4 linked regions of the Stegostoma tigrinum genome follow. The protein of the gene in region 2 interacts with the protein of the main gene of each other region in a pairwise test. Links are inferred from orthologs where the notes say so. Each region holds a gene or a part of one and is shown on either strand. Other genes may lie near its edges.

Region 1 (7,716 bases), on a different chromosome or scaffold from region 2:
GAGGTGTTGTTCAAGACCTACGCTGTACGTAGATTCCCTACAACTTCAAAACTACATCATTCGTTGCTTAAAAACTGAGATAGTTCAAGAAAGGCACAACATAAATGCGATTTTATTTCCTTTTAGTGGCATATTTAAACCACAAAAGTATAAAGCATGCGACAGAAGCAGTCAGGATTGGCAAAAATATTGATTTCAACAGCATGGGACAGTGAATCCAATAACTACAGCACTGAAGGCAGACAGGCAATCAGGTCACTAGAGAAAAGGTTGGTAAAAGGGCAAAACAAAAACAAAAATATGATAAGCCTGAAAGAGAAACAGAGCACGCTGGAAGTGCCATGCAGCATCTGTGGAGAAACTGCAAGACGTGAAATTTAACTCTCATTTCTCTAATATTGTCTGATGTGGTGAGTGTTTCAAACATCGTTCAGTAACAGCACACAAACAAAATTAAGTTAAATGCAGGGTAAATTACAACTCCCAGTCTCTTACAACATTACTCCACATACATTTCACTTGAATTTTAGCCAGTGCTTTTGGCTGATCTAAGATACAAAAAGACAGAATCAGAGACTGTTGGTCCTGCCCACTGACTCAACCAGATTACCACTTAAAAATGATTTTCTTGGAGGGTTTGTAAACTGCTGTATCAGGATCACCATAAATTTAGGAAACAAATGTGGCCTGGCTTTGTGCAGCTAGTTTAACCCCACCCCACAAAACAAAAATTCTATATTCCTCTGTTAGCATCACATATTGCCAGTTTTTCAATGGCTTTTTAATTGTTTTGCCTGATTGTTGCTTGGACGTCTACAGTGAAGAGTCCTTGATTTCCTTTAGACCGTGGAGTCTCCTGATTTAATCTCATTTCATTGTCTGATTCAATAGGAGGATGCAACAAAGAAAATGGGAACCCATGTTGATAATACTGCTGAGTGCTTCAAAGAGCATCTTTTTCTTATTATTCAGCAGATTTTAATGCTGTGTCCTAGTTGGAACTGAAGCTGTCCTTCCAATTCCAATCTCTCAAAAGTCTTTTATGACATCTTTAAATGAGTTTCTGTGTGTATTCCAGAGCAAGTAAAAAACACATTTGTTTCCATATTGTCTCTGAGACACTGGGGAAAGCAAGTTAGGCAAATATCAGCCTGGGACCCACTCCAAATGATGGGCTGGCCCTACCCCACAGCTTGTCCATATGAGGACCTCAATTTCTCACCAGCCTGGTGGACTAATTCCCATCAGCCAAGTTCATTTTTAATGATAAACCATGTCACCGGGAGTTCCGAGGAGGGGGTCTAAAGTCACAATCTTTGGATGGATGGATGGACAAAAATCAGTTAAACGGAAGGACACAGCCTGAACAACAGATTATGAGCAGTGGACACATCCAGAGATGCCCCTCGTTGTTAGTACTATATTACTCCCAAGGCGCATGTAGATATTACAGCATGAAACATACTTAAATCGTTGTCCATATCTTCCAAGTATCAAGTGTTTCCGTTCGAAATATCCCAAAGAGGCAGGTTCAGATTTGTGTAGCGGCTTAGCATTGTCAAAACACTCGTGATAAACCCGTCTAGATATTGTAAGGTTTCTACTTTCTGCACAAAGGTGAAGAGGAGGCTTAAGAGGATTTTCCTGATAATGAGGAGGAGATTTGATGGAGTAAATAAAAGGAGAGATGATTTCTAGTGGCAAGAGGGCCGATTAGTAAAGGGCAGTTTTAGGATAATTAACAAAGCAGCTCTGTGTCCCGTCCCCCCCGAAGCAGAAACAAAAGGAGATTCTACTCTAGAAGGGCAATTTGAAATTCCGGAAAGGGAGAAACGTGTAAGGTTATGAAGGGAACATGGGAGTGACACAACTTGTTCTTACAAAGAGCCAGCACAGAAGCGAGGGGCCAAGTAGCCTCTCCGCCAGCCTGAACTCCCACCTCAGAGTCCAGTTGGAGGCAAACTGCCAGTTCTCTTAATCCAAGCGGAAGCCAACTTTTCCTCGTTAAATAACGGGTTGGGATTCAGATAAAGCTCCAGGGGAGGGAGGGAAGGGATGGTTTTCGATTAGAGCAGATCAGCCTCTCACTAGGACAAGGTTTCTATGGCGACAGCTCTCGCCAGGGCAAGCCACTGAGAAAAGGCGCGCTGTGTAAGAGAGAGAGAGACACACCACACAAGGAGACGGAGGCAGAAACAGAGACAGCCACAGACACAGACACAGCAAGGGAAGCGGGAAAGGGGCCGGAGATCTGCGGGATAGCCAGGCCACGCCAAACACTGAGGTCAATGCCGGACTCCCGGCGACAGAGCCACTAACCAATCCCCACCCCGGCCTCTACAGCAGTCTGAAACGAAATTCGCCAGATATGGTGTTTGTCTCGCAAACGTACAAGTAAAATTTATTTTCAAAATAAATTTCGAATGGGAGCTGTGGTGAATGAGAAGGGAACTCGATGGATATCTCAAGAAGAGCCAGTAAAGACACGGTTGGCCGAATGGCCTCCTGATGCTCTGCACACGTCGACTGCGGTAAACTCCACTGCTCAGGAAATAACACCTTTATCAATGTTCACAGGCTGTAATTAACAAACAACTTACTTGGCCTTTGCGAATAAGAAACACAGACATTGTGCTCGTCTCTTTCACAAAAGCCGAGTCAACTGGGTGGGAACAGCGCTATTATTTCCCTCCGTCCCGGTTCAGGCTAGACACAGATTAAAGGAGAAAGATTCTTAAGAACAGTGCCGATGCAAGGTCACAAATTTATAGCATTGAGCGCTTCTTTCTCTCCAGATGATGTCTGGTTCCATTATTTTGTTTTTCATTTCAGATCTCCCTCATCAGCTGTATCTACCAGCAAGGCAAGGATAAAACTGGCAGCGTGCAATCTATTTTCTTGGTGCTTGTCAACCAACTCCAACCTGGAGAAGCGCCTTTAAACTTTAAACTCACCGTGCTCCATATTCTGCTGTTGCTGGTACCACGGTTCCTCCTCCCGGCGTTCAAAATCCTCTATTATGCTGTCAGTTAACATCTTGCTTTTTTTTTGTTAGGAAGAAAAGTACCGGCTTGGAAAAAAGCTCAATAACGTAACTGTACCCCGGCTGCGGCTGCTGATGAGCTTGGACATTCATAACATTTATTCCATGCCTCTATAAAACTAACGCAACGTGGCACTATGTGCCTATAAGCCAGCTCCTAATGCACTACAAACGCGGGGATTCCGCCCGGCCACCAGGGCCCCGCCCCTTTCATTGTAACAATTCAAATGACAACCAATCACTGCGTCCGCACTGCCACCGTGACCGGTAGTGCCCTTTTTTGGAAAGCGTGAATCTGATTCAAGATCTTCAGCCAGACCCAGCCGCGCGTTCATCCTGAAACTGGAAACATTAACCTTGCTTCAGTGGCCACAGATGCTGCCAGACTTGCTGGGTATCTCCAGCATTTTCTGTGTTTTTTTTTCAGATCTCCAGCATTTGCAGTATTTTGATTTTATTAGAATAAAATAAAGAACTGCAGACGCTAAAAATCTGAAACAAAAGCAGACATTCTTCAGAACCTTCAACGAAGGGGCACTGGGACTTTGCTTTCGCTCCACAGTTGCTGCCAGACATGCTGAGTTTCTCCAGCAATTTCTATTTTTGCTTTTATTAGATCCTACACTAACGTTGTTAATTATTTCATTGTGGTGGAGCCGTATAATCATGGATCCAGCTGTTGTGGTGTTGGTTGATGTCTTGGACCCTTCTTCAGACAGGACATTAAATCACAGCCTTACCTACTTTCTCAAATTGGTGCAAAATTCCCAAGGCCATCTTTTGATGAAAAGCAGAAAGGATTCCCACCCTATATCCTCTTTAAAAATTCATTTCAGGACGTCACTGACTAGGTCAGCGTTTGACCTTGAAACCCTTATCTCCAAGAAGATGCCTTCTTGAACCACTGCTGTCCAATTAGTGTAGCTACACCCAAGGGCTGTTCTGAAGGGAGTTCCAAGATTTTGACCCAGCGACAGAGGGAATGATAATATTTTAAAATCAGGGTAATGTTGATTGGAAGGAATTTACAGATGATGCTGTACCCGTGTACCTTTGTTGCCCTTTTCTCTGTAGATGGTAGAGGTCACAGGTCAGAAGGCACTGTCAAATGAGACTGTGTGGTTGGCTGCATGTATCACTGCGGCATACCTCACCGCAGTGAGCTGAAAGTGTTCGAAGTGAATGTTTAAGTGGAGGATGGGGTGCTGATTATGCATTTGCTAGATTGGATTCAAGGGTTTTTTTAACCAGTGCTTGGGAAACAGACATTGCTTAGTGGGTAGCACTCCTTCTTCTAAGACTTTTCAAGTCCCACTCCAGAGTATGAGTTGACTTTGTATATGTCAAGGTCTGGTAAGGCAACAAGGCTGCTACTTAGAGATAGCAAGAACTGCAGACGCTGGAGTCAGACACCACACAGTGTGGAACTGGAAGGACGCAGCAGGCCAGGCAGCAGCAGAGGAACAGGAAAGTTGACATTTTGGGTCAGGACCCTTCTTCAGACAGGACATTAAATCACAGCCTTACCTACTTTCTCAAATTGGTGCAAAATTCCCAATGCCATCTTTTGATGAAAAACAGAAAGGATTCCCACCCTATATCCTCTTCAGTCTCCCCAATCTCACCCCCAATGTAATTGCTCAGCCAATATCATCAAAACCATACTGGTACCTACAGAAACTCGTCACACTGGAATGTGAGGTACTACATTTTTGTATGGCAAATCATGGCTGGACTTGAAACACATAATGGTAAGGTCCTGGAGATTGTTGCTGAATGAGGTAGACAGAGTAGTGAGGAAGGCATTTGGTACACTTTCCTTTATTGGTCAGTGCATTAGGTATAGGAGTTGGACAGTCATGTTCTACAGTGAACGACATTAGTTAGGCCATATTTGGAATAGTGCATTCAATTCTGGTCTCCCTGCAATAGGAAACATGCTGTGAAATTTGAAAGGGTTCAGAAAGATTTACAGGGAAGTTGTCAGGGTAGGAGGGTTTGAGCTGTAGGTAGGGCCTGAATGGTAGGGCCTGAATGGGCTGGGACTATTTTCCCTGGAGTCGGAGGCTAAGGAGTGACAACAAGAAATTTATAAAATCATGAGGAGCATGGATAAGATGAACATTTAAGGTCTTTTCCCCAGGTTAGGGGAGTTCAAAACTAGAGAGCATAGGTTTAAGTGAGAGGGAAAAATTTAAAGGGACCTAAGGGGCAACTCTTTCATGCAGAGGGTGGTGTGTGCAAGGAAGGGTCTGTTTCTGTGCATGGAAATAACTGCCAGAAGAAGTGGTGGAGGCTGGTCCAATTACTATATTTAAAAGGCATCTGAATGGGTAAAGGAAGAGGAAGGGTTTAGAGGGAATTGGGCCAAATGCTGGCAAATGGGACTCCATTAATTTAAGATATCTGGTTAGCTTTAACGAGTTGCACTGAAGGGCCTGTTTCTGTGCTGTACATCTCTATGACCTGATGATACCCACCTGCCTGTGATGTCAGGTTTAACTGGAGCCTTGCATTTTTAAACATGAGCATTTCTCTTTGAACAAGTGGTCAAAGGAACTTACAATAGAAAAAGTTGCCAAAAGAGTACACAGCATTAAGATTTTAAACATTATGGTATTTATATTTTTTTGCATGGGATATCAGGATCATTATTAATGTTTTGAGTTTTGAATCACACAGTTCTGTCTCCTAGTGCCTGAAAAGTAGGAGTATTAACCTTGGCGATGTTATAATTTCCTGCTTGAATGAAATATTTCACTCTGCTTAGTTAGTTTGGCTAGAATAAGTGAATCTGTGTAGAGTTACTCATCGTTTCCACATTCACTAATGTCAAAATCATCATCCATTGACAAGAAATGGAGCAGCATTTATTTGCACAGTGTGCAGGTTGGCATCTTAAACTTTACAAGGGAGCAGTGAGACCCAAGCCATAGAATTATTTTAATCAATTTTCTTTTTAACATAGCAACAAACATACATTGTAACCCAAGCATAAATAAAGTCATGCTTTAAATTCTGCAACATTTTACACAATTTACTGTTGATTGTAACCAGAATGCATTAATATCTGGGTGTTAACAAAACAATATGTCCAGTCCCTTTATTCATCCTCTCAAACTTGCATCTTTTAATATGAAGAATATATCCCTTGGCCCCCAATTTGTGTAATACCAATCCATGCCAGAGCATCCTAGCTCTGAAATCAAGTACCACAAGAAACCATAGCTTGTCTTCTTTCGGATACCAACTGACCTGTTTTATATTTGCAGCATTTTCTAGAAATTTTCATTTGTCCTAATACTGTCAGCCTAGTTTCACTGGACTTTGACCTTGTGTCTTGCTATGAATATGAGATCCTATTCCCCCACAGACGGCTTCACAATGTTATTCAGTCAATCTTTCTCTCCACCCGCACCCAACTCAACCCCTGCTTTCTGTTGAATTATCATTGAACGAGACTACAAGTAGTTTTCATTCATTTTAGCTTTCTTTAATTCACAGTACACTACTGAGTTTTATCAGTAGCGCTGATGTGGATGACTATGGAAGCACTGGTACCCCAGGAGCAAAAGAAAAGTGAATTGAAAAATGAAACAAAATAGTCATAATATCTGCAAGACAGTGAATTGTCTTCTTCAAAGCCACAAAGCAATGAACTAGTTTATCCCATGCTTAGACTTAGTTTTAAGCATGATCAATCTCTACTGATAGCTCAGTGGATTAAAGCTAAAGTGCTCCTGAACCTTTACAGAACTTTACACTTATATAGCACCCTTTACATCACCAGAACATTCCAAAGCTATCCATAGCCAACCAACTGCCTTTAAATGCTACCACTGTTGTTAATTAGGCAAACACAGTAGTCAATTGCACAAACTCTCTCAAAAACAACTATATTACCGACCATGAGTACTTTTAATTATGCTAGTTGTGGAATGGATATTGACTATGACAAACTGTCCTGCTTATTTTCAAGTGGCATCATGGAGTCAGTTACATCCACCAGAAAAGGAAGGCAGGGCTGTGGTTTATCATCTTATCGAAAAGTGCAGCTCTTCTTCAATACTGCCCTGGGAACATCAATATTAATTCTGTGCATAGGCAGGACTTGAACCTGCAACCATCTGATTCAGACAATGATAACCCACTCAGAGATAGTAAGAACTGCCGATGCTGGAGTCAGAGATAACACAGTGAGGAGCTGCAGGAACACAGCAGGCCAGGCAGCATCAGAGGAGCAGGAAAGCAGACATTTCAGATCAGGACCCTTCTTCAGAACTGGAGGAGGGGAAGATGGCTCTGAAATAAATAGGTGGGGGATTGCCTGGGGAAGGTAGGTGGAATGGTGATAGCAGGTAGATAGTGGTGGGGAGTGGTCAGTGAGGTGGGATGAATGGATTGGTGGGAGAGAAGATGGACAGGTCAAGAAGGTGGGGATGAGGGAGAGGGTTGATCTTGGGATGAGGCCGGAGTGGGGAGATTTTGAAGCTAGTAGAGTTCACATTGATTTGTAGGCTTCCAAGGTGGAATATGAGGTGCTGCTCCTCCAGTTTCCGGATGGCATCATTGTGACACTGGAGGAGGCCCAGGATGGACGTGTCGTACAGGGAGTGGGAGGGGGAGTTGAAGTGTTTTGCAATTGTAAGGTGTGGTCATTTGTCGTGACCTTA
Region 2 (7,792 bases):
TTTCAACCAGGCAGTGACTAACCCTACTTACTTCATCTCAGGTTTTAGTTTAACAACAGCACTCATCACCACAACATCTGCTGCAATCTTCACATATGTCCTGAACAAATGCAGCATTAAGCAAAGGAATTTCATATTCATTTACAAGTGTTTTATTATTTTGTGATTTTCCTTGTTACTGACCTGCTGTCTTCACAACACTTGCTTCCTCCCTGTCACTCCCACCTACCTGATGCTCTTTCAGATACCTCTGGCCTCTCCTAATCACCACAGAACATCCCTTTCCTACCTAAACCCCTAGCACCAGCTTCCCACCTACTCAGTCCCCTTGCACAGCTCTACCCCTTCTACCTCTAATCCACTTGCAATCCTCATCTTCCCCAGGCACCTGTGTAGATCTCACTGCCCTATTGTGTCTCCCACCCCTTTGCAGCTTTCTCACGGCTGTACTTGCTAACAGGAGTGTGCCTATCAGTTGCATGCACAAGACAGCCAGCCTGTAATGAGAGAAGCTCCTCACCATTTTCTTCCGATCTATTTACGGAAACAACTTTTCACTGATCGGTCACCACATTACTGTGTTTTCTTGTGATTAGGGAAGATGCAATCACCCTCTGCCACTACATATTTTCTGCATTGACCTGACTCTTCAAGCCTGTTCCACTATACAATTAGATCATTGCTGACCTTCTGCCTCAACGCCATTTTCCCACATTATCCAAGTGCCCCTTGATATATAGTTTATATCTAGAAATCTATCATTCTTTGCCTTGAATATGATCAATGACCAAGCCTCTATAGGTCTCTGATGAAAAAAGAATTCACCAACCTGAATGAAAAACATCATCTTAGTACCAAATGGACAACCTCTTATTTTGAGACTGTCCCCTCGTTCTACATTGTCCCAGGCAAGGAAATATCCTTCCTGCATCAACCTGTCACGTCTTGTAAATATTTTGTGTACTTCAATGTGATCAACTAAAATATAGGTCTGGTCGCCTCAATCTCTCCTCCTAAGTAAGGAATTCTGCCAACCAAGGAATCAGTCTAGTGAACATTTGCTGTAATACTTCAATGACAAGTATATCATTGCTTAGAAAAGGAAATAAAACTGTACACAATATTAAAGGTGTGGTCTCACCAAGGCTCTATGTAACTGCAGTATGACACTTTTACTCCTGTAAAATCCTGGTGAAACAACATATCAGCACTCCCAATTGCCAAGTGACCCTGCACATTAACCTTCAGTGACATTCAATCAAGGTTACCGAGATCTATTTGAACATCAACACATCTCACTCTCACCACGTAAGAAATATTTTGTCCTTCTATTTTTCCAGATGATATTCCACGTACCATGCGCTTTCAGCCTATCTAAATACTCTTGAAGCCTCTATTTATCCTCCTCACAACTCACATTCCCAACTAATCCAGTTTCATGAATAAACTTGGAAATATTAAATTCGGTCCTTACATCCAAATCATGGATGGGGACTGTGAATAGCTGGGATCCAAGCACTGATCCTTGCAGCACCGCAGTTCTCATGCTGAGAATGAGACTGAATTATAGGAAAATCATTTTTGGATTTGTGGCCACTCAAAAAGAAAACTAAGACAATTCCATATTTAAATAGATATACGACTGTAAACTGTGCATTTCTTAGTGTGCACAGTTCTGCTGCCTTTGAGGTTTCAGATTGACCTAACCATTCATTACACAGAATTTTTAGCACAATAACAGACTATTTAGCCAACTAGCCTGTAGCAGTCCACATGAGCATCATCTCATCCTTCTTAATGGCATCACATCAATATACCTTCAATACTCACTGCACTAGCCTATATTTAAGTAACATCTCTTTAACACTACGTGTCTCAGTTACTCCTCATAGAGTTAAACATTACACAAACTCTAAAATTAAACCTGCCAATGTCAAGATCTGAAATGAAAACAAAAATTGCTGGAGAAACTCAGCAGCATATCTAGCAGCATGTGTGGAGAAAGCAGAGGTCACTGGATTCGAAACGATAATTCTGTTATCCCTCCGTAGATGCTACTGTAGATAATAAAAACCGAAAACAACTGCGGATGCTGTAAATCAGGAACAAAAACAAAGTTGCTGGAAAAGCTCAGCAGGTCTGGCTGAGGGGAAGGGTCACCGGACACGAAACGTTAACTCTTGTTTTCTCCTTCACAGATGCTGCCAGACCTGCTGAGCTTTTCCAGCAACTTTGTTTTTGTTGATGCTATGTGTATGCTGAGTTTCTCCAGCAATTTCTGCTTATGTTATAGTAAAATCACTTCTTAGTAATTTGCTCGTGAATGCTTTGTTGAATATACGAGTACGTGGAGCCTAGTTTTGAACTCCCTCGATGATGTTACTCCATGTTTATTCTCTCTCTCAGTTCAGCCTTCCCTTCCTGAATTACCTGCAGGAGTCCAGGAAGCGACAGCTCCCACTCAGGTAGAACGGGCAGGGCTTCATGGCTCTCTGTGTGGGGTGGATCCACAGGACACGGACTGTGGGCTCGGGTGGCTGGTCAGCCTCCACACCCACCACCATGGCGTTGTGATACTGCAGCGGGCCCCAAGCCGAGCGGTACGGAGCCCGCACCTTGGCGCCGCTAATATCCCCAGCCTCAACCTTAGTCTCAGCCTCATCGCCGCTCCCCGGCTCCTGGTCGGCCTCCCTCAGAGCCGCCTGGAAAGCGGCGTATTCGGCGTCGAGCCCTGACTGGTCCTCGGGCTCCGGCGGCGAGGCGCCTCGCTGCAGCTGCTCCAGGAGCTGGCTCTTGCGGACCGACAGGAGGCTGGACTCGGTCAGGGCGACCAGCTGCTGTAGGTCGGCCTGGAGCTGCAGCAGGTCCGCCTGGGCCTCGGCCTCAGCTTGGGCCCCGGCTCCCAGCGCCGCCTCCACCTGCTGCAGCTGGGCCTTGTACACCTCGATGGCCGCCTCCAGACTCGCCTCGTCCATGACCAGCGCTCCGGAGCCGCACTGACAGCGATCAGAATCGTTCAGCTCCCGCCGCCATGGCCAACGAGAACAATAACTCCGGAAGGAAAAGACAGTGAACAACCTCTGACCTGTGGCTGGGCTCACGCTGGAAAAATAGTTCAGTTCGCAACCGGGAACATGGGGAACATTATAAGTCCCACTCTCTTCTAGTTCCAAAATCTTGCATTTTTAGCCTCCATGGATCATTTTCATTATTTGCAAACTTTAGGTGTCATCTACTTTTATTTTTCTTAAATTTCTGCCCACTTTCTGTTTTAACACCCCCCCCTCTCGTATTTCATTAAATAAACTAAAGTTCGTTTAAACGGCATTTTTCCTGTTCTCAGGACACCCCTAAACACTAATCACTGAGTACTTTCTGTAAGTGCACTGCCGTGTTTTCAAGGCAATAACACAGCAAGATACCGCAAACAGCCAAGAGATAAAAGCTGTGTTCCAAATGGAAAACAGAAAAATGTGGAGCATCAATGAAAGGAACAAACAAATTGATGGTTTGGAAGTTAGTGTTTCAGCAATACTGATCAATTAATCTGTTTCCAAGGGACTAAATTTAAAAAAAACTTGTGACTGAAAATTGTTTAATCAAGGAATAAATGTTCAGCTAGGACAACATGAAGGATTTCTGTTCTTTAAACAGATAAGCCCGATTATATCAGAGATAATGGGAACCGCAGATGCTGGAGAATCCAAGATAATAAAATGTGAGGCTAGATGAACACAGCAGGCCAAGCAGCATCTCAGGAGCACAAAAGCTGACGTTTTGGGCCTAGACCCTTCATCAGAGAGGGGGATGGGGTGAGGGTTCTGGAATAAATAGGGAGAGGGGGGGGGGGCGGACCGAAGATGGAGAGAAAATAAGATAGGTGGAGAGAGTATTGGTGGGGAGGTAGGGAGGGGATAGGTCAGTCCAGGGAAGACGGACAGGTCAAGGAGGTGGGATGAGGTTAGTAGGTAGATGGGGGTGTGGCTTGGGGTGGGAGGAAGGGATGGGTGAGAGGAAGAACAGGTTGGACTGGTTTTGGGATGCAGTGGGTGGAGGGGAAGAGCTGGGCTGGTTGTGTGGTGCAGTGGGGGGAGGGGACAAACTGGGCTGGTTTAGGGATGCGGTGGGGGAAGGTGAGATTTTGAAACTGGTGAAGTCCACATTGATACCATTAGGCTGCAGGGTTCCCAGGCGGAATATGAGTTGCTGTTCCTGCAACCTTCGGGTGGCATCATTGTGGCACTGCAGGAGGCCCATGATGGACATGTCATCTAAAGAATGGGAGGGGGAGTGGAAATGGTTTGCGACTGGGAGGTGCAGTTGTTTGTTGCGGACTGAGCGGAGGTGTTCTGCAAAGCGGTCCCCAAGGCTCTGCTTGGTTTCCCCAATGTAGAGGAAGCCACACAGGGGGATTGGTTTCCCGATTATATAATTCTTTTCACTACTGCCAGCTTTTTATTTCTAAAATTTTTAAAATAAATTTAAATTAACTTATCGTCATTATGGGTGGGATTTTCAGTATTTTTCTGGATTATGAGTCTAATATCATAACCACATTACCCCTTTTATTTCATTTCTTTATTACTGAAAACCTATATAGTTCAATATCATTTCCTTCTCAGATGCCATTTTAAACCAAACCTGTCTCCTCAGGTGGCATCAAAGGTCCCTGGTGGGCACTACTCAAAGGAAAGCAAAGGTCCTTCTTTTGCCCTGACAAACATTGTAGACTTGAACAACACCACCACAAATGATTATCTCCATTCATTCGTTTGTTTCTATCAGATCTTAGTGTATACGAGTTATCATTGTATTTACCTTTCCAATAATTCTAATCTTCAAAAGTCAACAATTGGTTATGAAGCACTTTAGAATTTTCTGAGTACACTGTTAAACTGAATCCCGAGAGGTGAATTCCTCACTTCTCAGCTCGGAGGTTGGTTTCATTAGTTTGAATTTATAAAGATTCTTTTTCTATTCAGCATATGCTTGACTGTATGTAAAAACTATATGAAAAATTAAGCCAGATGGATTTCTTGAACCAACAAGGCTTATACTTGAGTTTATAATAAAACTAATTGAAAAACTAAAACTCATTCTGAATCCTGCAAAATATATATGCTGACTTGCAGTAGCATCCAAAAAAATGTTAAAAGGACGGTAAAGATGAAGTTGTCGGGAATCCACGAACGTATTCCAAGGTTCCTTTGGCAGTCTTGATGTTTGGATGGTATTACAGCTGATTGTTCTACTAAAGATAGTCTCTTTTAAAATGCAATCCATCCTTTTCCAGAGTGGGTGCAATGGCATTTTGAAGTTTCTTTTTAAATTCTCCATCTGTGTGATGTATTCCAAATTGTAACAATGATATTCTCTGCAGCTTGAGGCAGAAATATTCAATAGACATAGACCATTCATTTTGTTTAGTTTATTATTGCATAAATTGCAGAGTACACAATCAAGCCATTCAGCCCGAGAGGTACATGCTCCGACCATCTCAATGCACATTAAAAGCACAACTTTCTATTCATTTTTTCCCTCAAATACTTACCAAACCTTTGTTGAAATGTGTTTACTGCATTTGCCTCAAACATTTTTTCGGTCAGTATTTCCATGTGCTAACCGCCGTCAGGAGCGGGATTTTTCTTCATTTCCCTGATGGGATTATAGCTCTAATTATGGTCTCTCCCATATGTGGAAACATATCCATGTCAGACCTACGCTGAAGTTGTATTTTTTCAAATGTAGTTTTCAGGGCATATGCATTTTACGATATTATGTCACGCACAAGATGAATCTGAAAAGTGTCATTTAAAAATCTATAAACTGACAACTTCTGGGGTGAACTTAACAGTTGCAACCTTTAACAATTAAAAATGGCAGATGACTCGCCCTGCGCATGTCCACCTCATTTCCGCCCACCCGCCACTGAAGGATTATGGGTATTGTCGTTTTAATGCCCCCGCCCTCATTCAGAACAAAGCGACAGAAAAACTACAGCATTTCGATGCCTAAGGGGCGGTCGAAGATCCGGTTTGTTCAGGCGAAACTTCCGCTTTGTGTCGTTTCCATAATTTGGAGCCTGGTACATAACAGAAGGATTTAAATGGATTTAAAGGTCTAAAGGTAAGAGCTCCGTTTAGTAAGCGTTATTGGTCGCGAAAGGGTGACTCTTGAATTGAAAGCCATCGTTCTAGAGCATACAAGAGACGATGAGGGATGTTCAAAAGTTTTATACTTCGTTGCTGTCATTAAATCCAGAGCTTGACAGATTATTTCATGAGCGACAGTGCCTTACGTTTCCAAACACGAATAATATAAACCTTTATAACAGTGTCCTGTTTCTTTTTTTGGGATCGTGTTCCTGTGAAACAAAACATATAGTACACTATTTGGAATAGCAAGAACTGTAGATGCTGGAGTCCTGAGGAAGGGTGTAAACCCGAAACGTCGACTTTCCAGCTCCTCTGATGTTGCCTGACCTTCTGTGTTCCTCCAGCTCGACACTGCATTGATTATAGTTATTTGGAGCTTTGGGATGTAATTTTGTGTGTCATAGAGAAATACAGCTTGAAAACAGACCCTTTGGTCCAACTCCTCTGTGCTGACCAGATATCCTAAATTAATCTAGTCCCATTTGCTAGTATTTGGCCCACGTCCTTCTTAAATCCTTCCCATCTGTTTACCCATCTGCATACAATTACAACATTTAAAAAGGTATCAGCCTCCACCACTTCCTCTGGCAGCTCATTGCATACACACAACACCCTCTGTGTGAAAAAGTTGCCCTTGAAGTCCCTTTTAAATCTTTCCCCTCTCACCTGAAACCTCTGCCCTCTAGTTTTAGACTCCCTCACTGCAGAGAAAGGCCCTTGTCAATTCACCCTATCAACATCTCTTCTGGTTTTATAAACCTTTTATAAGGTCATTCCTCAGTCTCCAATGTTCCAGGGGAAATGGCCCCAACCTGTTAAGCCTCTCTCTATGGCTCAAACCCTTCAACCATGGCAACATTCTTGTAAATCTCTTTCTGAACCTTTACCAGTTTCAAAACATCCTTCTGTGTTATTATGTTCTTCCTCATGTATTGACCAAGATTAAATGGTGCCTACTTTAAATGGGTGCAGAGTTTGGAAGATAATTAGATTTCCTGTGATGTTAGCCAAATCATGCTCATTAGCTAAATATTTGACGTACAGGTTTCAACCTCCTATGTTCCAGTGGAAAAAGGTCCCAGTCTTTCTAGCCTATTTTTATTACTCAAAACCTCCATTCCTGGCAACATCCTGGTAAATCTCTTCTGAATCCTCTCCAATTTAATAATATCCTTCTGATTACAGGGTGACCAGAACTGTACACAATACTCCCAAAAAATGCCTCACCATATTTTTGTAAATCCTCAATGTGATGTCCCAACTCCTGTACTCAAAAACGCTGAGCGATGAAGGCAAGCTAAATGCCTTAACTACCCTGTCTACCTGTGACTCAAATTTCAAAGAATTATATACCTGAACCCCTTGGTCAATCTGTTCTCAAGCACAATGCGAGGCCCTACCTTTAATTGTATAAGTCCTGTGTGAGAAGTGCATCTTTCTGAGAGCCGGAATGGTAGCTAAGTTGTTAGCATTGCTGCCTCAGGTGCCAGAGATCTGGGTTCATTTCCAGCCTTGGGTGACTATCTGTGTGGAGTTTCCACATTTTCTCTGTCTGTGTGGGTTTCCTCCCAGATGTGCAGATTTAGTGGGTAAGCCATGCTAAATTGCCCAGAACCTGGGGACATAGTTTTAGGGTG
Region 3 (8,042 bases), on a different chromosome or scaffold from region 2:
AGTTGTCTTTTGATCCGAGTGGTTTGCTAGGATCATCTTAGGTAGTTAAAAGTCAGCCACATTGCTGTGAATCTGAAATCACATGCAACCAAGTTCAGCTAAGGACAGCAGATTTCTTTTCCTTAAGGATACTAAAAAACCAGATAGATTTACGACAATCAACTGTGGCTGCCATGAGGCTAACTCCTAGTTTCAGTTGTTTTTAAATTGAATTCCAATTTTGCCATTTAAATGCATGTACTTAAAAGCATTAGCTTTGGATTCTGGGGGTTCTACTAACAGACATGACATGGCTGCCTCCCCAGGGTTTCATCAGAGGTTGGTAATGGAAACTTGTTTTTTGATGAACAATGTTAATAACCTAGATGTGCAAAGTACAATTTTAAAATATGCAGCAGTAAAAATCTTTCAAGTATTGAACAGCAAGGATACATTACAAAAGACAGGCTTGTGCAATGAAAAAACAAGTAGCAAATAAAATTTGATGTGAGCTAAGTAGTCAGTTTTGATAGGAAGACTGAGGAAAGAGCATACACAAAAAGGATACAGTTCTGAAACATGGCAGAGTACAAAGGAAGGAGTTATGGCAAGACTTCACAAAATATGACTGAACTAGAATGATATTGTGCCAGAATGGAATACATTGCCAGAACACCACAAAAGTGGTTTTTATGCTGCAGCTGTACAAAACTCTGGTGTGGCCACACTTGTAGTATTGCGTACAGTTCTGGTCACCGCATTATGAGGAGGATATGGAAGCTTTGGAAAGGGTACAGAGGAGATTTACTAGGATGTTACCTGGTATCAAGGGAAGGTCTTACGAGGAAAGGCTGAGGGACTGGAGGCTGTTTTCATTAGAGAGACGGTTGAGAGGTGACTTAATTGAGACACAAGATAATCAGAGGGTTAGATAGGGAGAGCCTTTTTCCCCCAGATGGTGACAGCAAGCACAAGGGGGCTTAGCTTTAAATTGAGGGGTGAAAGATAATAGGACCGATGTCAGAGGTAGTTTCCTTATTCAGTAAGGGGAAGGGTATAGAATGCTTTGCCTGCAACAGTAGTAGATTCACCAACTTTAAGTCATCATTGGACAAGCACCTGGACTTCAGATTGCAGATTGGTATGGCAGGTCAGCACAACATCAAGGGTTGAAGGGCCTGTACTGTGCTGTTCTACACTTTGAAATCAATTGCATTTTTTGCTATTTTAAGTCATTGAGTAAGTCAGTGATATATTTGCCAAATGCAATGACTTCTAATGGCTCCAAAAAAATTGCCTCAATTAATATGGGCAGCATGGTGGCTCAGTGGTTAGCACTGCTGCCTCACAGCACTGGGTACCCAGGTTTGATTCTAGCCTCGGGTGTCCATGTGGAATTTGCACATTCTCAGTGTGGGTTTCCTCTGGGTGCTCCAGTTTCCTCCCACAGTCCAAAGATGTGCAGGTTAGGTGGATTGGCTATGCTAAAATACCTAGCGTTCAGGGATGTGTAGCTTAGGTGGGTTGGAGGGCACACAGGGGAAGGAAGAGAAAGAAATGGGTCTGGTGGGATGCACTGAGGTTCAGTGTGGACTTGTTGGGCCAAAAGGGCCTGTTTCCACATTGTTCGATCCTATGGCTAATATTCATGCAAAAACAAACATTAAAGTTCAATTTTAGCAGAAAGCTTTTGAAAAAAGTTAGACAACTGTACAAAACTTCACTGGTTCAACAATTGATGAACTATAAGTACTGAAGGGTTTTAAAAATGTCACAATATTAATTGTTTTGAACCAAAGCAATCTGCCATTCCAATACCCATAATGGAAATATTTCCAAAACAAAAATACCTTAAATACAACAGTCCAAAAAAGCAAACAAACTAGCAAACCATTCATGATCCAATTAATACAAGATGTTTACCAAGCTGAACAATATTGCACAGATGGCCTAACTCAAATCAATGTTGTTGTTAAGTTAGACCAGAACAAAATCCACATATTCATACAATGTTACATCATTAACTTTGTTTAACAACTGTAGGATTAAAGGAGAAAACCAACCAGGCATCTATCATTCTGCCCACCCCAATATGTCAATTGCAACAAGCAAATGTTTGCTATCGCTGTATACTATGTTTAAGTATTGTTACAGCGAGCAAAGTGTTCCGGACCTCCGAATTAATTTATTTGTAAAATCGTTTAGTTTTCTCATCGAGGGCACCAATGATACAGGATTACAACTACCCTGATTTTGAAGGCAAGGCATAGAGAGCTACCATTACGAACAGACAACACAAAATTCCATCTCTCTCGCCATCCACCAACCCACCCTGCCCAACTAAATAACGCCATAAATCCAAACTCGCTGTCATTTACTTATCGCAAACACGAAACTTTGCAGCGAAAAAAAACCTGTCTGACCCTGTAGATTAACTTATATTGGTTGCAGCTCATCACTACCGCAGCAGTCCTGCTCCAAATCCCCTCTGCTCGCAGTATCAACAGGCTATGCTAACCGTCTAGCATTCGAATACGGTCTCGAGCGACGGTACACAACGCTTCCGGGTCACGAGAAATCGTCACCTGCCAGCTTTCTGGAACAATCGTGTTCCTTGTTTAGGGCGGCGTATACTGTTTGTTCGTCGTCACAGACAATATTGCAGTTGTTTGTCATCCACTGCTTGACAAATGAGAAGCGACGAGTCTCATTTCATCGAAAGTTTGTGCTGACACTTTCTATCGCCGTGCAAACTTAATTTAATTTTTCCTGGAAACTGAACACGCCGTGCTTTCTGGTTGCGGCCGCCACCACAGATTATTACGGTCATCTGTAAATTGAACAGTGTAGGCAGAAAGTACAACAGGTCAGTTAGTATCTGAAACGAAAGAAAAGACGAGTTACGTTTTTGCTAGTGTGCGGCTTGTTTTTCAAATAATACAAGTCAGAGCAGCCAGTGTAAAAGTTAATTAAACTTGTTGCTGGATTTAAAACCAAAAAAACTGCAGATGCTGTCAATCAGGAACAAAAGCAAAGCTGATGGAAAAGCTCAGCACGTCTGGTAGCATCTGTGTTTGGGGGGGGGTGGGGGGACCAGTGTTAACGTCTGAAGTCCCACCATCCTTCCTTAGACCGGATGGTGGCTGGAAAACATGACTTTATATGGAGAAAATAGGGAGTAAACGATAGGATAGAGCACGGAGAGAGAGAAACGCATTTGGACAGACAAAGGAGTTGCTAATGATCAGGCTGGGAGGGTGATTAGTTGTTAATGGGAACTGTTAATGACTAACAACAGGGGGTGTGCAGTGGCAGGCGATGTGGGAACAAGGCCTGGTGTGTGGGCCTGGGTGCTGGGACGTGGGAGAGTTTAGGCCCTAAAATTATTGAACTCGATATCGAGTCCAGAGGGCTGTATAGGGTTCCCAAGCGGCAAATGAGGTGTCGTTCCTCCAGTTTGCGTTGGGCTTCACTGGAACACTGTAGCAAGCCGGAGACAGAGATGTTGGCCAGGGAGTAGGGTGGTGCATTGAAGTGGCAGGCAACGGGTAACACTTGACCTGCACTTCCAGGAATCTAGTCTACTGAATTCACTGCTCACAATGTGATCTCCTCTACATGGGGAAAACTAAGTGTAGACTTGTGGGAAAACTAAGTGTAGACTTGGCGACCTTATCTCAAAACATCTACATTCTGCTCGCACAAAAGACCCTGAGCTACTTGTTGCTTGCCACTTTAATGCATCACCCTGCTCCCTGGCCAACATCTCTGACTCCGGCTTGCTACAGTGTTCCAGTGAACCCCAATGCAAGCTGGAAGAACGACACCTCATTTGCTGCTTGGGGACCCTACAACCCTCTGGACTCAATATTGAGTTCAATAATTTTAGGGCCTAAACTCTCTCATGTCCCAGACCCCCCCACCCCACACACCAGGCCTTGTTACCACATAGCCTGCCATTACACATCCACTGTGGTTAGTCACTAACAGTTCCCATTAACAAGTACTCGCCCTCCCAACCTGATCATTAGCAGCTCCTTTGTCTGTCCACATGTGTTTCTCTCCCTTTGGGCTCTATCCCATCGTTTACTCCTTACCCCACCCACCTCCCTATTTTCTGCATATAAACTGATGTTTTCCCAGCCACCATCAGTTCTAAGGAAGGGTCACCAGACCTGAAACATTAAGCCTGGTTTTCTTCTCCACAGATGCTGCCAGATGTGCTGAACTTTTCCAGCAACTTTGTTTTTGTTCCTGTAGTTGCTAGATATCTGAAATGAAAAGCAAAAAATGCTAAAGATGGGTCTAGGCCTGAAACATCAGCCTTTCTGCTTCTCTGATGCTCCTTGGCCTGCTGTGTTCATCCAGCTCTACACCTTGCTATAAATATAAAACAGACCTTCCCGCATCACTAGAAACAAACAGGTAGTGTTTGTTATGAGCCTTCATCAGAACGGACACTTTTTGAGGAAAAAATGAGGAGTGACAGACAATAAGGAAGTACTGCGAAAGAAAAATCAAAAATGAAATGCTGAGAAGGAATGATGTGAGGAAAAATGAACATGGAGATAGAGTAAACAAAGGAAGAAAAATGTGTTTATGGGTGTAAATGACGATTGCAAAATTAATTTCAACTGATGTCTTACTAAAAATGAAGGTAGGGTTATGGTTTAAAATAGTTAAACTCATGTTAATTTCAGAAAGCTATAAAGTACCTAAACAAAAGACGTTGTTCTGTAAACACCAATTGAAAATGCACTTCACTTGAACAGAATAGATGTCAAGATGGTTGTGAATAGAGAATTAAAATGGTTGACAGATTGAATTTCAGGGACACGTTTGAGGGCTGCAGGGGATATCCCACAAAACGAAGGCATTGGGCAGGTTTTCCTTCATTGGTCAGAACTTTGAGTAGGAATTGGGATGTCATGTTGTTGAGGCCACTTTTAAAATATCGCCTTCTGTTCTGATCTCCCTGCCAAAGGAAACATGCTGTTAAACTTGAAAGGGCTCAGAAAAGACATACAAGGCTGTTGTCAGGATTAGACTGTTTGAGTTTAAGTGGGAGCCATTGCTTTCCTGGATTATAGGAGACTAAGGGGTGACTTTATAGATGTTTAGAAAATCAATGAGAGGTATGGATAGGATGAATAGCCAAGGTTTGTTCACAGGAAAGGGAGTCTAAAACCAGAGGGCATAGGCTTAATATGAGAGGGAAACGATTTAAAAGGGACCTGAGGGGCAACTTTTTCATGGGGACAGTGGTGCAATGCTTGGAATGAGCTGCCAGAGGAGGAGGAGGAGGAGGTGGTGGAGGCAGGTTTGTTACAACATTTAAAAGTCACGTAGATGCATGCATGAATAGGAAGAGTTTAGAGGAATATGGGTCAAATAATGGCAGATGGGACTAGACCAGTTTCAGATATCTGGTTGGTGCGGACAAGTTACCGAAGAGTCTGTTTCAATGCTGTATAACTCTTTGACCCTATAATCCGTATTTAGTTTTGCCAGGATACAATAGACCACATCGTGAGCAGGGAATGGCAAGTTGCTAAAATGAAAGAAGTCTAGTTTCTATGATATTGCACATGCTAAATATCAGGTTTGTTCAGAGTTCCAAATTTCATTTAATTGCGAGCAATTTCAGTAACATTAATGGAATAGGTGTGCTATCTATTATTTCTTCTGATGTGTAGTATATGTGCTTTCCTTTACTGGCTTCCATTTCTGGCTTGCATGCCATACAGCATGCAGAGGATGTTGACAAATTTGAGGGAACCCAAATTCTAGAAGGATACACATAAGCCATCATGATTGATTGAGTCAAAGACTTCCATGAAGCTAAAAAAAACTGTACATGTGGCCACTGAAAACAAGCAAGCGAATATAGTAGGTAGTTAGAAAGGCAAATTATATGATTGCCCTTCTTGTTGGAGGGTTTGAACTGAGGAGTAAGGATATCTTACAGCAGCTGTGTTGGGCCTTGTTGAGACCGTGCCTAGAGTACTGTCATTAGCTTTGCTGTCCCTAAGGGAAGAAAAGATATATTTATTCTCATCACTAGAGAAGTAATATCAGACAAACGAATGTGGCTAAAGGCAGATCAGTCCCTGATCATGATGCTTTGCATTCTCAAATTCCTAGAAAATGTAGCTGCAGAGATAGTGATGTAATTTTCCAAAATTCCTTTGATTTTGGAGATGTGCCGAAGGACTGGAAAATTGCTAAGGTGACACCCATATTCAAAATGGAAGAGATGCAAAAGTGGGTAACTCTAGGTCAATTTGCCCAACATTTATAGTTGGAAAAATTTGGAATAAATTATTGAGGAAGCAATAGCAGCACATTTTGAAAATCCTAATTTCATTGAGCCAAATCCGCATGGTTTCATGAAAGGGAAACCATGTCTATTCTAATGTATTAGTTTTTTGACGAAGTCTGAACCAGAGGAGACCCAGTCAATGTGGTGTATGGACATCCAGAAGGAGTTTGACAAGGGACCTCTCAAAAGGTTAAATCAAATGTTAAGAATCCTCAGTGTTAATAGTAGTATATTGGCATGGATGGAGAATTGGTTGATGGCAGCAAACAGCAATAAGGGCCTCTCCTTCAGGGAGCAACCTGTAATCAGTGTGGTTCCACGGGAATTAGTGCTAGGATATCAATTGTTATATTAATAACTTGGAGTAAGGAAGCATTTGTATGGAAGCCAAATTTGCAAATGACTCAAAAATAGGTGGAAAGACAAGTTGAAAGAGCAATGAAAATAGTTTACAGAACAATATTGATCAGTTAAGTGAGTGGGCAAAATGTTGCCAAATGGAATGTAATGTGGGAAAATGTGAAGTTGTTTATTTCCAAAGGGAGAACAAAAGTATTATTTAAATAGAGAAAAATTGTAGAATGCTGCAAAACAAAGGGATTTTGGAGAACTTCTGCATGAAACACGGAAAGCTGCATATGCAGCAGGTGATCAGAAAGGTTAATGGAATGTTGGCCCTTATTTCAAAGGGTTTGGAGTGTAAAGTAGACAAATCCTATTGCAGCTGTACAAGGTGCTGGTGAGACCACATTTACAGTACTATGAGCAGTTTTGTTCATTAAAGAAAATACATAACATCATTAGCAGCAGGTCAGATGTTCCCCAGAATTATTCCTGGAATGGATGCATTGTCTTAGGAGGAAAAGCTAAACCAGTTGGTAGATGACTTACTGGAATTTAGAAGAATGAGAGGCGATCTCATCACTTGATGGTAAATTCTGAGGATGTTACCCTCATGGGAGAGTTGAGGATCAGAGGGCATAATCTCAGAATAAAGGGGCACCAACTTAAGGCTGAAATGAGGGGGAATTTCCTCAATGTTAAGTGTCTTTGGAACTCATCTCAGAGAGCTGCAGGTGCAGAGTCGTTGTTTATATTTAAGGCTTAGCTTGCCTTATGATTTGTTGGGGAATCAATATTCCTGGGGGAAAAGCAGGAAAGTGGACATGTGTGTCAAATTAGCTATGATCCTGCTGAATGATGGAGATGGCCAAATGGCAAGCATTTCTTATCGTCTTGAGAATTGTAATGAAGTTTCATTGATCTGGGATGGCAGGTTTGTCATATGATGAGGGACTGGCCAAATTGCGCATGTTCTTATTGCAGTTGGCAAGTATGGGAGGGGATATATTCAAATTTACAAAGTGCTAACAGGCTGAATAGACTGGATGGAGATATGCTTTTTGCCCTGCCTGGGGGATCCAAAATGGGATCATACTCTCAGGATACGCAGTGGACCATATTGGACTGAGGTGAGACGTTTCTTCACTCAAATGGTGAGGAGGGCTGTGGAGGCAAAGCCACTGAATATAATTAAGAAATAAATGGTAGTTTTCTGAAAGCTGAAGGTGTCAAGATATATGAGAGAGAGCAGAAGTATGGCGTTGAGATAGAGGATCAATCTTGATCATGTTGAATATTGGAGCAGGCTGATAAAGATCTTCTGAACTGAGTCTTCGTTTGACCCCCAGGTTCTCTTTGGGTGCTTGGAAAGCTGTAAGCACTTAAGCATTTATCTCAG
Region 4 (7,511 bases), on a different chromosome or scaffold from region 2:
TGGGAACCCTGCAGCCCAATGGTATCAATGTGGACTTCACCAGCTTCAAAATCTCCCCTTCCACCACTGCATCCCAAAACCAGCCCAGTTCTTCCCCTCCCCCCACTGCATCACAAAACCAGCCCAGCTCGTCCACTCCCCCCACTGCATCCCAAAACCAGCCCAGCCTGTCTCCGCTTCCCTAATCTGTTCTTCCTCTCACCCATCCCTTCCCCCCACCTCAAGCTGCACCTCCATTTCCCACCTACCACCTCATCCCGCCTCCTTGACCTGTCCGTCTTCCCTGGACTGACCTATCCCCTCCCTACCTCATCACCTATACTCTCCTCTCTACCTATCTTCTTTTCTCTCCATCTTCGGTCTGCCTCCCCCTCTCTCCCTATTTATTCCAGAACCCTCACCCCATCCCCCCCTCTGATGAAGGGTCTAGGCCCGAAACGTTAGCTTTTGTACTCCTGAGATGCTGCTTGGCCTGCTGTGTTCATCCAGCTTCAGACTTTGTTATCAGGGTAACTAGCCAAGGTCCTTTTCATTGGGTGGGGGCTTCCAAAACTAGAGGGCAAAAGTTTAACGTAAGAGGGAAAAGATTTAAAAGGACCTGAAGAGTAACTTTTTCCACGCAGAAAGTGGTGAGTGTATGGAAAGAGCTGCCAGAGGAAATGGTGGAGACTTAAAAGGCATCTGGATGGATATGACTGGAAGTATTTACAGAAGTAGGCAAAATGGCGGCAAATGAGGCTAGGTGAGATTGGGATCTCTGGTCAGTGTGGACAAATTGGGCCAAAGGCTCTGTTCCCATGCTGTATGACCCTATGGCTCTAAGTAAGCAAATTAAAGAATCGGCTGATTATGACAAGTACAGGTTCACCGGGTAGAGGTTAGGGATTGGTTGGACCTCTGATCATGGAAGAGCCTGAGCCTTTCAGGTTATTCTGTTCAGCAATGGATATGTGAAAGAATTTATGAAAAACGGAGATAGTTACATTCATTGCCACTGGAAACTTAGCAACAATTGTTAGTCTTTCTACTTTCCTTTTAAGTTTGGCACATTTCTTTTGAGGCTGGTGATTTATGCACTTGCAAAGATGTTAAACCTTTCAGCATTTCCGCCCTTGCTGGGTCTATACTCACATTCCATAGTCCAAATCAACTATTATATTTAAATTGCCTCCACCTTTTATGAAGACAGATAAAATGTATTAAGAACCATGTCCAAATCTTCCATCTTTACACACACTGAATATAAATTTCCCTCCACAGGTACTATCTGGCCAACTGAGTAACTACCAACATTTTATATTTTTCTTTCAGATTTCTGAACTTTCATAGTATTTTGTTTTCATCAAGGATGCATGTCTTGCATGATATCAGGACAGATCCAATTATCCCCACTGTAACTAGATCTTTACTTCCACCTGCTGGGGAGAATCAGCTGGTCACAATACGTCTGACAAGCTACTAAGTGGGCCTGCAACACATATAAAAATCTTAAAAGTATTTGTTCATGAAGTAACACTATGAAATAAGAGAGATAAAACCAAGAAGCGAAGAAATTCAGCAGGCCTGGGAGCGTCCATGGAGTGAAAAACAGAGTTAACATTTTGAAGCCATTACAGCTCTTCTTCAGAACCGTTGTGAAGACTAGTGTTTGGAAAGGTGGTTATGGTCACAATGGATTTGAAACATAAACTCTTGTCTCTTCACAGGTGCTGCTATACCAGAGTTAGAATCATAGAATCCCTACAGCGTAGGAGCAGGCCATTCGGCCCATTAAGTCTACACCAACTTTTTGCACAGCATTCCACCCAGACTCACCCCTTACCACACCCCTGCATTTCTCAGCCTAGACACTATGGGCAATTTAGCAAAATCAATCCACCTAACTTGCATATTCTTTGGACAGTGGGAGGAAACCTATGCAGACACAGGGAGAACGTGCAATCTCCACACAGACAGTCACCCAAGGCTGGAATCAAATCTGGGTTCCTGGCACTGTGAGGCAACAGTGCTAACCTCTGAGCCACCAACAGTTTTTCCAGCATTTTCTATTTTTATTTCAGACCTCTACCATCCTGTGTAGTTTTCTTCTATCCAAGACAGATGTAGGAAGACAGCAAAGCCAATTTTTAGTGGTACATTTATTCATGCATGTTGCAAAGTCAGCTGTGCGCCTTAAACAGCAATTTAGAAGTATTTTTGTTTCTCCACACTGGTGCCTCAGCAAGCTTTATTCTGCCCCCCGATGCTGCCTGGCCTGCTGCGTTCCTCCAGCTCCACACCTTGTTATCTAAGACTCCAGCATCGGCAGTTCCACTATCCCTTCTTCAAACTACAATATTTTCAAGCATTTCTCTTACGAAGTCTTAACTTAAAAATGAGCAATATCTATTCATATTAACTGCAAGACCGATGAAACTGTAGTCTCACAGGCAGTGGTGTATCCTGTTGTAAGTAATTATTATGTGCTGAAAGGGGAAAAAATAACAATAGAAATTCAAATTTAGCTTTTCCATTGCACTGAAACGAACAATAAAGGGGCTGGGAGATGCAAGAGTTTGAATACACCAATGCAAGCGGTTACCTGAACGAAAACAATGAATAATTGCTGCCCATCAGGGTTGGTCGAAAACTCACCCCTCCTGCACAGCAACAGGAGCATTTGGGGGTTGGGGAAATACGTTTCAACCAATTGTGTTTTTTTGGAGGGTGGAACACTCCCATCTCTCATTGGTCTTTCGTTCACAGCCGAGCCGGTTGGGTAACACTAAACAATCCCACGTTTCCCTCCCCTCCTCGTTTCCGGCCTGGGTTCGTACCTACCTCCCAGAGCGAGAATCTGGGCCTTCCGGCAGTGACCCCCCTTAGTAACGGTGCCTGTTTCCGCCTCTCCTGCCGGAGCCGGTCCAGGTCCTACTCCCGGCAGCGACAGTCGATAAACTTGTTTCTTGTTGAAGTCGCACTTGGATGTGGGGTGGAAATTTTTAATGTGGGACACGGGTATAATATGATGCACTTGGTCCTGCAGGAAGCGTACGCAGGCGAACATGTTTGTTGAAGGGCGCCGCCAATAACAGTATCAGCAGCAACTGCTGCTGCTGCCGCCGCCGCCACCTTTTCCTTCTCCTTCCCCTCAGCAGACTGGCTCCCAGTAGAGCGGAGAGGAACACAATCCGGATCGCAGGCTCCACCGCGAACCACCACCCCCTCCAGCAGCTGGCTGCGCCTGACGTCACCGACAGAGGCGCACCGGCGCCAGCAGCAGGAGGTAGACTCGGACTGTACCCCAGGGCAAACGTGCTCTCACTGATTCCAGGCTCTGCGTTGTGTACAGCCGACCCGGTGGGCAGTGAATAACGCTCCAAACATTCCGCGTTTGATATATATGCAATTTGTCGCAGCGTACCCGTTTACTGTCTTGATTATTATAATATTTTGCAGAATAGGGTTGTTTCACATGTTGGACAAGACTCACCGTAGGATGAGGTAAAAAGCGCATGCACCAGACCAAAGGTTAAGAGAACTATAAATAAGATTCACGAAATAATGCAAACTTTACCGAGCACATCGCTCGAAACACAGCGAATATCCAAGACAAATACTGTTACGAAGAAAACTTTTAATGCGCATGGCATAAATGTATACGGTAGTTTGGAAAAAAAGTTTTTTGTAATTTTTTGGACTCATTGAGATGACGATAATTAACATTGGATAATTTGCATTTTTATTTTGGGAATTCACACATGACTGCAGCCGAAAGCCAGCGTTTTCTATCTTGTCGGAAGAGCACACGTACTTATAAATCTGAGATGTTCCCTTTCCCGAACTACAAGAATTATGATGTCTTAAAATCTGTAATCTCCTAGCTTTACAGCCCTTCACAAGTTAATGTCATGCATTAGGGTCAGATTTGTGCTGCGGAAGTACAGATGTTTTTAAAAATTTTGGGCCATGTGTTAATTATTCTCCTCCTAATATTTCTCTTAAAAGGTGGTGAAGCGTATAAGAATTTTGATGGCATTGAGCGAACAGTAACGTATTTGGAAGTTACGATGGTACGAATTGAGGAAACTTAGGTCCAGGCCTGAAACGTCAGCCTTCCTGCTCCTCTGATGCTGCTTGGCCTGCTGTGTTCTTTCAGCTCTACACCTTGTTATCTCAGATTCTCCAGCAGCTGCAGTTCCTACTATCTCAAAACAGCTTTTAGGTGGTTATGTTCCAAAGTGTCTACTGCCTTTTTGAGCAGTTAAAGTCACAGGTTTGGATAATGTTATTGAAATCTGGATGATTACTGCAGGGCACCTATAAGACTCTACTTCGACAACAAAACAGTGCATATGACAGAGTAAATTTTGACGTTTAATGTTTGACACTTTCAGGATATTATTCTGGGAGGAATTCCAGAGTGGGTCCCAGCCAGGTCCACTCAGTTTCTTGTTTTTTTCCTTTTGTTTGGAAAACTATAAAGTGAGTGAATTATGTTGTATGCACTTGATTTTTGTATGTTATTATAAATTGTTATGCACATAAACAATGCAGGAGCTTGCTACACCAAATGCCAATTAAAATTTATTAGGTGCCAAAAATACCACAAATGGTGCTTCTCATGAGCAGGAAGTGAACATGCTTTATCCTTTAAAACAGTGATCCTCTGTCAGTCCTGTGTGCACATCAATCGTGCTTCAGTGCCTTGCAGCTTAAACTGCAGACTCTTACCAGGTAGTTTGTTGAATCGTGTTTTTCAGTTTGATCCAGATGCAGAGTACGGTTAACTTTTTTATGGGGCAATGCAACAATTGAATCATAAATATGCTCAGAAGTGATGTGTGAAGCTAGTATATTACTGCACTAGGAATATAGGAAGCTATTTGGCCTTCTCAAGTCCGTGCAAACTCTTGGCAAGGGCAGCTTAACTTACCTCCTGGTAACCATGTCGGATAAAGAGCCCTTCATAAGGAAGAATAACGCAAAGCATTTTACAAAGATAATAAGATTCCAAGCCCAAAATTATAATGGTCAATAAGGCAGATAACAAACAAATGATCAACAAGGTACATTTTTAATGAATCTGTGGGATGTCAGATGCAGAGTCATCAAACTAGTTTTGTGGAAATTTTCCCAAATTCGAAGCTTAATGTTGTTACAAAACTTCCACTAAAAAAGTGCTATCCTCAGACAAATTTTCTACCGTAGCTAGGTTTTTTTTACATCAATCTGAAGTAAGGATTGTGATATGGAAAATTCAGCCAAAAACAAAAAGAATATTGGATCTTTTCATTGTTTACAATGATATTATGACACCAACTTGTAGAGGTGGTAGCATTGTGGTTTTTTTTTTCCACTTATGGGATGTAGATATCACTGGCTAGCCAGCATTTGTTGCCCTGGAGAAGGAGGGGGTGAGCTGCTGCCTTGAACTGCTGTGGGCTGACCCACAAGGCCACTGGACAAGAAACCAAGAGACTTAGACTAATGTTCTGGGGATAAGGGTTTGAATTTCATCATAGCAGATAGAATGTAGAACATTACAAGTCAGGAACAGCTCTTTTGGCCCACCATGTCTACAGCAACTATTTTGCTATTCTAAACTAATCTCATTTGGCTGTATATGGTTCATACCCCTCTACTCCTACCTGTTTGTGTGTCTGTCTAAATGCCTGTTAAACTTGGCTGATGTATCTGGCTCTACAACCTCCCCTCACTGTGCATTCCAGGCACCTACATCCTCTGTTTTAAAAAAAAAAGCATTCTTGACAGACGTCCCTAAAACATTTCCTCTCTAACTTTAAATTTATAACCCTTCATATTTAACATTTCCACCCTGGGAAAGAAACTGAGTATCTGCCCTATCCATACCTTTCATAATTTTTGGATATGAATTACATCAGTATCCAAGGAGTTTCGAATGGTGCTGAACATTGGGCAATCATCAGTGAACATCCCCACTTCTGACTTGAAAGTAGCTGAAGATAGTTGGGCCTAGGATGCTATCCTGAGAAACTCCTACAGAGCTCCTCCCTGGAGCTGAGATGACTAATTTCCAACAACCATGAACGTCTTTCTACGTATCAGTTTTGACTCCAACCACCAGTGATTTTTGACTCTGATACCCAGTGATTCCAGTTTTGCTAGGGCTGCTTGATGGTACAGTCAGCTGAATGCAGCCTTGATGTAAAGGGCTGTCATTCTCACCTCTAGAATTCAGCACCTTTGTCCATGTTTGAACCAAGGCTGTACCCGCATTCACCACTTCCTCTGGAAAGCCAAAGGACCTATTCTGTGTTGTAATGTTCTATGTTTTACACACAAACCACACTGTGTAGAAAAAATTGTCCCTTGTGTCTTTTTAAAATGTTTCTCCTGTCACCTCAAAAATATGTCCTCTAGCCTTGAAATCCCCCACTCTAGGGAAAAGATACTTGCCATTCACCTTACCTATACCCCTCACGATTTTATAAACATCTGTATGGTCACCCCTCAACCTCCTACACTACAGTGAAAGAAGTCCTAGCGTACCAACCTCTCCTTATAATCCATTCCCAGCAACATCCTGGTAAATATCTTCTGAATCCTGTCCAGTTTAATAATAATCTTCCTATAACTGAGCGATCAGAATTGGAGACAGTATTCCAGAAGAGGCCGCACCAATGTCCTGTATGACCTCAATGTAACATCCCAAGTCCTATACTGAAAAGACTGAGCGATGAAGGTAAGTGCACTAAATGCTGTCTTAACCACACTATCTATATATGTGATACAAACTTCAAAGAATTAACAAATCACAGGTGTCCCAACTGTGAATGAATCTCTTCCCATGCTTGGCACAAGTTAATGGTTTCTCCTGGTGTGAACTCACTGATGTTTAGTTGAGATGATAGCATGAACCCATTCACACACCAGCCAGCTATTTCCACCTCGGGAACATCACCCTATCCACCCGAGACTCAGATCCTCTGCTGCTGAAACTGACATCCATTCCTTTGTTAGCTGAGTATCTAAAACTCTGCTATCCACATGCTCAATTGTACCAAGATAAATACCATCACTCCTGTGCTCCCTGACCTACAAAGATTACAATCTATAAACAAAAACATTTTAAAATTCTTACCATTGACTTAATTCCTGGCTGTGATCATCCTGACCTCCCCACACCGTACAACCTTCAAGACTTGGACAACTCATTTAGTTTAAGACTCCAATAATATGTTTATGCACTGCTTCACCATTGGTGGCTCAACAGTCTGGAATTCCCACCCTGAACGTCTCAGGTTTGCTTTCCTCCGTTAAGATATTCCTGTAAACCCACCTATTTGGCAATAGCCTCTCTGATCAAGGGTCTAGGCCCGAAACGTCAGTTTTTGTGCTCCTGAGATGCTGCTTGGCCTGCTGTGTTCATCCAGCTTCACACTTTGTTATCTTGGATTCTCCAGTATCTGCAGTTCCCATTATCTCTGATATTTGGCAATGCTTTCGGTCACCTGACCTACTATCTCCCTCTGTGGCCTTAGGGTGCA

The links.
Region 1: the proteins of zgpat (region 2) and cdr2a interact in binary tests that used the Homo sapiens proteins (3 or more experiments, as listed by UniProt). The two-hybrid records come from large-scale screens. The link is inferred for Stegostoma tigrinum from reciprocal best matches to the Homo sapiens genes ZGPAT and CDR2.
Region 3: the proteins of zgpat (region 2) and mipol1 interact in binary tests that used the Homo sapiens proteins (3 or more experiments, as listed by UniProt). The two-hybrid records come from large-scale screens. The link is inferred for Stegostoma tigrinum from reciprocal best matches to the Homo sapiens genes ZGPAT and MIPOL1.
Region 4: the proteins of zgpat (region 2) and BEN domain-containing protein 5-like interact in binary tests that used the Homo sapiens proteins (3 or more experiments, as listed by UniProt). The two-hybrid records come from large-scale screens. The link is inferred for Stegostoma tigrinum from reciprocal best matches to the Homo sapiens genes ZGPAT and BEND5.

The regions. Positions count from the first base shown.
Region 1 is NC_081376.1:34,248,312-34,256,027, forward strand, and holds the start of cdr2a (cerebellar degeneration-related protein 2), read right to left. Parts: upstream 3,215-7,716; 5' UTR 3,037-3,214; coding exon 2,955-3,036; intron 1-2,954.
Region 2 is NC_081372.1:35,392,663-35,400,454, forward strand, and holds the start of zgpat (zinc finger CCCH-type with G patch domain-containing protein), read right to left. Parts: upstream 3,074-7,792; 5' UTR 2,976-3,073; coding exon 2,431-2,975; intron 1-2,430. UniProt on the Homo sapiens protein: Transcription repressor that specifically binds the 5'-GGAG[GA]A[GA]A-3' consensus sequence. Represses transcription by recruiting the chromatin multiprotein complex NuRD to target promoters.
Region 3 is NC_081363.1:57,567,478-57,575,519, reverse strand, and holds the start of mipol1 (mirror-image polydactyly gene 1 protein), read right to left. Parts: upstream 3,054-8,042; 5' UTR 2,565-3,053; intron 2,538-2,564; exon of another isoform or gene 2,403-2,537; intron 1-2,402.
Region 4 is NC_081358.1:13,504,317-13,511,827, forward strand, and holds the start of BEN domain-containing protein 5-like, read right to left. Parts: upstream 3,229-7,511; 5' UTR 3,047-3,228; coding exon 2,821-3,046; exon of another isoform or gene 2,760-2,820; intron 1-2,759. UniProt on the Homo sapiens protein: Acts as a transcriptional repressor.